2 linked regions of the Arabidopsis thaliana genome follow. The protein of the gene in region 1 interacts with the protein of each later gene in a pairwise test. Each region holds a gene or a part of one and is shown in the gene's direction. Other genes may lie near its edges.

Region 1 (3,927 bases):
AGTTAATTTTTTTACTTGTTTTATATCACTGTAACCAAATTACATGAATTTCCGTGAAACCGAATCACGAGTATGTATGCAAGGTAACACACGGTCGATGTGTCCCTCCACTAGCCAGTCATCAACCTATAGAATGTATAGAATGAGTTGATTAAATTACGCAAATTGGTCATTTTTTAATCCTAAAATATAACAACAAAGCAGAAAGAAATACTAGTTTAATAGAATACATGTTGTTAGACATATTACAAGGTGGTGGAAATTCACATGGAGGTTTCTTGTTTGTCTTGGAGGAAAAAAAACATGTCTCCCATTATTACAATGTCCAATTACAAAGATTTTTGTTTTTATATTATTTTGGCTTAAAAAATAGAAATATGTTTAGGGCAATCACATAAGCCATGTCTCCCTTCCATTCACACACAAACTACCAAAAGTTCCAACTTGTCTTCGCAATCCAGCTCCACCTCTTTTCTTTTTAATCTCCTTTTGGTATCCTCTATTCTATTACCGCCACCAATAAACGGCCACTTAAGTATTTCAAGTTTGTCAAAGAAGTGAAAAAAAGAAGAAGAAATGATATAGATGATTTTAGAAAAGAATGGTGGAATAAAACGATTTGATTATCGCAAACACGTGTAAACATCAACTAACATAGGCTAAAGATTTGTCATAATTTTAGTTTTGACCGTGTCTACTTGTCGTTCAAAATTAAACTTGATTAGCAAATGCAAGATTTTATAGTCAATATGTCATTTATTAGTTAGTTTATAAAAAATCTAGACTAGAGCCATGAGATCTTCTCCAGAGTTCATGCAATTTCAACCGTTAGATAAAAAAAAAAAACAGAGTGTGTTAATAGAAAGCAAGGGTAATTATGGAAAACAATGATTAACAATAAAGCCATCTGTATCAAATTCGCTTTTTGCTCTGAAACCTCGGTATATGTTTTTGATTTTTTTAATAGTACTGTCTTTCAGATTGATCGTTATCTAACGCGCCTCAACAGTTCTGGACTATTGAATTACTTACTGTAAGACAATCAACTAATAACTGACTCTTTTAGGTTTTTGGGTTTCGACAATTCAATTTATTTTCTTTCTTTTCTTCATACTCCTATTACTTATTTAGTTTGATCTAATGAATTATACACTATATGATCCCATATTCTTAATAAATAAGTAAATAATTTTGACTATTTTAAGTATTTTTACGATTTCGCTCTCAAAATGTTTTTTACCTGTAATTTCAAAAATAAATTTGACACATCCTTTTTTTTTTGTCAAACATTTGACACATCCTTTAAGTAAACAAATCTATTGGTTTGAAGAAAAAAGAACAAAAATCTTTTGGTTCATTTTCATTTGACCCTTGACTTAGTTTTTATACATATATAATGAAGTATATTTTTACTATCATACTATTTAATATAAAACATGTTACTGCACATATATATTAAATCACCCAATTGCTATTTCACTAAATAACAAATTATTTTACAAGATGCAAGTTTATTTTATAAATCGAACAAAATTTACGAAAAATGTAGAATAGTAATTTTGTCGATATGCATAAAATTTATTGGTTTCCTTGTTTTTTTTTTCCTCAATCCAGTGTTTTCCTTATTTATTATGTTGTCATCATAGTAATTTAGTCAATTTATGATTAAGGCTAAATTTATTCGATTAATGACACTTTGATTTCGATTTTCATGGCTTAAACTTATATAATCAATGATCTCTTGGAGAGTAAGAGTGACGCGCCGTAAGTGCGAGTAGGGTTAGAAACGAGGGGATATAAAATGAGTACAGATGTAGATAAGTAAATCTACAGACACAAGGCACCACACACACAGCAAAAACCAAATCCTTTACTTAAAAAAAAAAAAAAGAGAGCATTTTTTATGAAGATCATCACTTTGGAATGTTGTTGGAATCATCCAGAGTCAATATACATAAGCAACGAGAAGAAAGATTGTTATTAATACCGAGTGTGAGATAATGTGGGCGCCAATTTCAGTTTCAAGCTTTCATCTTCGTCTTCCTCTTTAAGTTCTGAGATCTAGGGTTTTTCTGGGTTTCTTTGTTCTCACTCTTAAATTCTCTTTCTGACTCTGTAAGATTGGTCATGCCCCTGCCCTTTGAGCAATTTCAAGGGAAGGGGGTTCTGGGTTTCTTAGATTCTTCTTCTTCTCCGGGATACAAAATCTGGGCTAATCCAGAGAAGCTCCATGGACGAGTAGAAGAAGATCTCTGCTTTGTTGTCAACAATGGTGGTTTCTCGGAGCCGACGTCTGTTTTAGACTCTGTTAGAAGTCCAAGCCCTTTCGTCTCTTCTTCAACCACCACGCTGTCTTCTTCTCACGGTGGTCCCAGCGGCGGCGGCGCTGCTGCTGCTACTTTTTCCGGCGCCGATGGGAAATGCGACCAAATGGGTTTCGAGGATCTCGATGGTGTTCTCTCCGGTGGCTCGCCGGGACAAGAACAGAGTATTTTTAGATTAATCATGGCTGGCGATGTAGTGGATCCGGGTTCGGAGTTTGTGGGTTTCGACATCGGTTCTGGATCCGACCCGGTTATTGATAATCCTAATCCACTCTTTGGATATGGCTTCCCTTTTCAAAACGCACCGGAAGAAGAAAAGTTTCAGATTTCAATAAACCCAAATCCGGGTTTCTTCTCGGATCCTCCGTCGTCTCCTCCTGCGAAACGGCTCAATTCGGGTCAACCCGGATCTCAACACCTCCAGTGGGTTTTCCCGTTCTCGGATCCGGGTCACGAATCTCACGACCCGTTTCTCACACCGCCAAAGATAGCCGGAGAAGACCAAAACGACCAAGACCAGTCAGCGGTAATCATCGACCAGCTATTCTCTGCGGCGGCGGAGCTCACCACAAACGGCGGAGATAACAATCCCGTTCTCGCGCAAGGGATATTGGCGCGGCTCAATCACAACCTTAACAACAACAACGACGACACTAACAACAATCCTAAACCTCCGTTCCACAGAGCAGCTTCGTATATAACAGAAGCTCTTCACTCTCTCCTTCAAGACTCATCATTATCACCACCGTCTCTCTCACCTCCTCAAAACCTAATCTTTCGGATCGCAGCTTACAGAGCTTTCTCAGAAACGTCACCGTTTCTTCAATTCGTCAACTTCACAGCAAACCAAACGATTCTCGAGTCATTCGAAGGGTTTGATCGGATCCACATTGTCGATTTCGATATCGGTTATGGAGGTCAATGGGCGTCTCTGATTCAAGAGCTCGCCGGAAAAAGAAACAGATCTTCATCAGCTCCGTCGCTAAAGATTACAGCTTTCGCTTCTCCTTCAACTGTCTCCGACGAATTCGAGCTCCGATTCACTGAAGAAAATCTCAGAAGCTTCGCCGGCGAAACAGGTGTCTCCTTCGAAATCGAGCTCTTAAACATGGAGATTCTCTTGAATCCAACTTATTGGCCACTGTCTTTATTCCGATCATCGGAGAAAGAAGCAATCGCTGTGAATCTCCCAATCAGCTCCATGGTCTCCGGTTACCTCCCATTGATACTTCGTTTCCTCAAGCAAATCTCACCAAACGTCGTCGTTTGCTCAGACAGAAGCTGCGACCGTAACAACGACGCGCCGTTCCCTAACGGTGTGATTAACGCGCTTCAGTACTACACATCTCTGCTCGAGTCTCTCGACTCTGGGAATCTGAATAATGCGGAAGCTGCTACGAGTATTGAGAGGTTTTGTGTGCAACCGTCGATACAGAAACTGTTGACGAATCGTTACCGTTGGATGGAGAGATCACCGCCGTGGAGAAGCTTATTTGGGCAATGTGGGTTTACTCCTGTGACGCTGAGTCAGACGGCGGAGACACAAGCGGAGTATTTGTTGCAGAGGAATCCAATGAGAGGGTTTCACTTGGAGAAGAGACAG
Region 2 (3,906 bases), on another chromosome or scaffold:
GAGGTCAACAGCTAGGATTAGGAGTGGCAGAGGGCAACATGGCGGCTGCAATGCGTGGCAGTAGAGGCGATGGTTTGGCCATGACTCTAGATCAACATCAGCATCAGCTCCAACATCAAGAGCCAAACCAGAGTCAAGCTAGTGAAAATGGTGGTGATGACAAAAAGTGATCAATCCTTTTCTCTAGTTCCACCTCATGACATTGTAATGACCACACTCGAGTTTGAAGATTCGCAATCTGCGGTTTGGCTATTAGCAACTCCATTTGTAAAACATGTTTTGGCGATGGCGGTTGAATGCTGCCATGCTTGAATGACAAATATGGTGAAACAGATAATGGTTTTAAGCTTTTGAACAGATTTGTCACATCATTTGTGGGTTTTTGTGTGCCTATGTGTGTTTTCTTGATTTCATCTCTCCTTTTGATTGTACCTTTTTATTAATAGATTTGTGAATATGTTGATCTTTCTTGGCTTTTGGGTTCTACGATACTCAAACAAAACTTTCACTTCCAATCAAAGTAAAAAAAAATATATCTGTCAGATTATCATTATTACAGCATCAAACAGCCAGCAAAAGAGGAAGACACAGAAGACTTAACCATAACGATAAGACTTGTGGCTAAGATCCAAAGGGAGAAAGAAAAACTCTCTTGCAAAAGCAGAGTTTGAGAATTCATACAAATTATTCAAGCTGTGAACAAGAGCATCCTGAGGGACTTAACCAGATTGAGTCTTCCTCTGCTGGAAAACGACTGCGAAGATAGGAACCCCAACACCGATGCTGAAAGCGGTGAATACACCGAGAGACATCTTGAGAGCTTGGTACTTCATGCGGTCCAAATTGTACATGTGTTTTGCGTGGAGGTAGTATTCATCGTAACCACCATGTCCTCCTCCGCTCATCTTCTTAACTCCAGTCGAGTGGAAGCTTCTAGTCACTGTTGTTGATGATATCAAAGAAATCTTCAGCAAGTTTTGAAATATTACCAATCAAACACTCATAAATCATCTTATAGCCCATTTAGTTTCAAGAGATACATCAAAACAAGCTGATCATAGCATGAACATGGAGCCTTTCACTGATCAACCAAAACTATCAAAACACGAACATGGAAAATTTCCATGAAACAAGGAAACATCAAAATATGCATTTCTAATTTCATGATACAATTTTTCAGCCTAATCATAAACAATCTGTTTCGCATCACGCCATTAAAGCGTGTTTCTATGACAAATTCGCGAGCAGAGAAGTTTCAAATCCCAGAATTCAATCAACGAAGAATCGCATCGGAATCAATCCGCGGCTAATCAGAAACATTGATATCTAGGCAATCAAACAAAACCTTAGAATAATCGATTCCTGGGAAATCAAACAAAACCCTAGACAACAAAAAAGGGGAAAAACAAAGAAATGCAAAACCAATTCAGCAGATACTTCTATTGGTACTGACCAGATCTGGAGACTGATGCTTCGGAAGAAGCAATGATCTTAGATACAGATCTGATGCTGGTGCTCAACGCCATGATTCAGAACTAATCGAGAAATTGCAAATGATGAACGACTTCTCTGGAAATTTTACGGCGAATTTGTTTTGGGGAGGAGAGGAGACTGAGAAATGAGAGATGATATCACACGTGCAAAGCGACATCTTCTTTTGGGCCAGGCCCATTTACTCTTACACAAGGCCTTTATTTAACTGTGTTGTTCAAATATTTTTGTTTTAAGTAAAAGCTGACAAAAATGTTCAGAAAAAAAAAACTTTGGGAATTTTCTTAGGAATCATATAACATGTCAAAATAAAAATTCATGTCACTTTCTTTGATGAACATGAAATATACTAATTTTTGCTTGCAAATCTCCACGTGTAGAGTCACCATTTGTCCACGTAGCTGAACTATTTTATCTTTTCTAACCCCAAAAAAATCTCTGGATGGTCATGAGCTAGCGATGATTCTTAACCACAGAAAACAGACGATGGAAGCAAGAAGCGTATCTTATCTCTACGTTTCATATTAAAGCGCATGAAAACGAACATAATAAAGATTCTCTTTTTTTTTTTTGAAAAATGCTAGAAAAATAAACATGGGTCACTTGCCACAGAGCCTCTACTCCGCCGCTGGACCAAAGTTTCCATATCCTGGAAGCTCCGGTCTAGGAGTAGATCAACGGAAGCTGACGTGGAGCCGCTTCCCGGTGTTCCTACGGTGCGCGTCGACGGAGTCGTTAACGAGTTTGACTCAGAATAATGCGGCGGAGATAGAGTTGAAGTATCTGGTGAGTCAACACGGGTGGGACGTGAGGAGATTGAATAGAGACGACGAGGATGAGATCAGGAGAGTGTCTCTTGTTCAAGCCGAAGCTTTCCACATCCCTCTTGCTCTTTTTGATGATTTTTTCTTCATGTTTTTTCAGGTTTGTTTATTTTTCATTCTCATATATGATTTACATTGAAGATTATTGTTTTGATGTATATGAAGATTTTGATAATATGTAATACAGGCAGAGGTTCTATCAGCACTTCTTTACAAACTAAAGAATTCACCACCTGACAGGTAAAACAAATAACATAACATAATTTCTTTAAGACTAGTTTTTAAATGTGATTAATTATAAAAGTTTTAAGAATTTGGCAGATATGCATGTCTCGTGGCGGAGCAAACAAGTGAAACTGAAACTTTGTCGAGCTCAAGTGTTGTCGGAGTAGTTGATGTAACAGCTCAAACTGAAAGTTCAGTACTTCGCTATTTTCCGGGCGTCGAAGAATATCTATACGTCTCGGGTTTAGCTGTCTCAAAATCTCAAAGGAGAAAGAAGATGGCAAGTACATTGTTAAAGGCATGTGATGTTTTGTGTTACTTGTGGGGTTTCAAGCTTCTTGCTCTAAGAGCTTATGAAGACGATGCAGCTGCTAGAAATCTTTACTCGAATGCCGGCTACAGTGTGGTCGAGACTGACCCGTTGTGGACCTCTACTTGGATAGGCAGAAAACGTCGCGTTCTTATGAGTAAACGCTTTTCTTAGGCGTTTTCTTCATGTACATTTTGGTTAAAACAATAAACACACTACCATCTAATTGGATACAGAGTAAATGTGCAGAAACATGAACTGAACTGAAATTTTAGACGACCAACAAGATTTCAAGAAACAAATTATCCAGAGACCAAACTTTTATACAAAAGGGTTAAACTAAACGGTGGCACGACCATGTTTTGTTTCTACATCTAAGATGGACAAAAGCGGCAGCAAACGTTTTTTTCCTAAATAAACGATATAAAAGCCGATCGAAACTATTGACATTCAATAACCTGACACGCTCCCTTGGAGCCAACAAAAACAGAGTCAGTGAATGGACAGTCACGCAGACGGTCTAGTGAGGAGTGACTTGAGATCTAGAGGCGGGAGATCTAATCCCGGGACATGATTGCCTGCTGGTCCCATCCAGAGACCTCCATTCTGATGTGGTAGCAGTACCGGCGACTGACTGTTGCTCTTCTCTGTAGATGTTTCTTGCTTCTTCTTCACAAACTCAAAGAACTCAGCGACCTGGCGTGCATACCTTTTAACAACATCAATCAAGAAAGTATCTATTAGATTTATGATTCCAAATAAGTTATGGTGACATTACAGTAGTGTGAGCACTTACTGTGTCTTTGCTTCAATATCCCGGCTGAAGTCGATATTGGGTTCACAGTCCAAAACCAGAGCAGGGACCTGTTACAACCAATGAACCAGTCTAAGCAAAATCTATCTTCAGACTTTTAGCACAAAGAATGCAAAAAAGAGATAAGTTTACCTTCTGGATACTAGAATGCATATGATTTCCTTCCAAGTAAAAGACACGGTCCTTTATATCAGGATGCAGAGAGTTGTCCATGTGTAAAGATGGTCTACTAACAGACAATA

Evidence for each region.
Region 2: the proteins of HAM2 (region 1) and AT1G72030 interact in a two-hybrid assay, tested with the Arabidopsis thaliana proteins (2 studies listed by BioGRID).

What each region holds. Positions count from the first base shown.
Region 1 is NC_003074.8:22,410,568-22,414,494, reverse strand, and holds the start of HAM2 (GRAS family transcription factor), read left to right. Parts: upstream 1-1,831; 5' UTR 1,832-2,127; coding exon 2,128-3,927.
Region 2 is NC_003070.9:27,108,802-27,112,707, forward strand, and holds AT1G72030 (Acyl-CoA N-acyltransferases (NAT) superfamily protein), read left to right. Parts: upstream 1-2,030; 5' UTR 2,031-2,085; coding exon 2,086-2,415; intron 2,416-2,502; coding exon 2,503-2,555; intron 2,556-2,636; coding exon 2,637-3,024; 3' UTR 3,025-3,131; downstream 3,132-3,906. Other genes in the region: AT1G72010 (TCP family transcription factor), read left to right, coding at 1-170; AT1G72020 (TonB-dependent heme receptor A), read right to left, coding at 720-940, 1,454-1,526; dNK (P-loop containing nucleoside triphosphate hydrolases superfamily protein), read right to left, coding at 3,358-3,559, 3,647-3,714, 3,797-3,906. UniProt on the Arabidopsis thaliana protein: Protein acetyltransferase with dual specificity triggering both N-alpha-acetylation (NTA), with a preference for leucine, methionine, serine, valine and to a lower extent threonine and alanine as substrates (can also use glycine), and epsilon-lysine acetylation (KA) of several plastid proteins.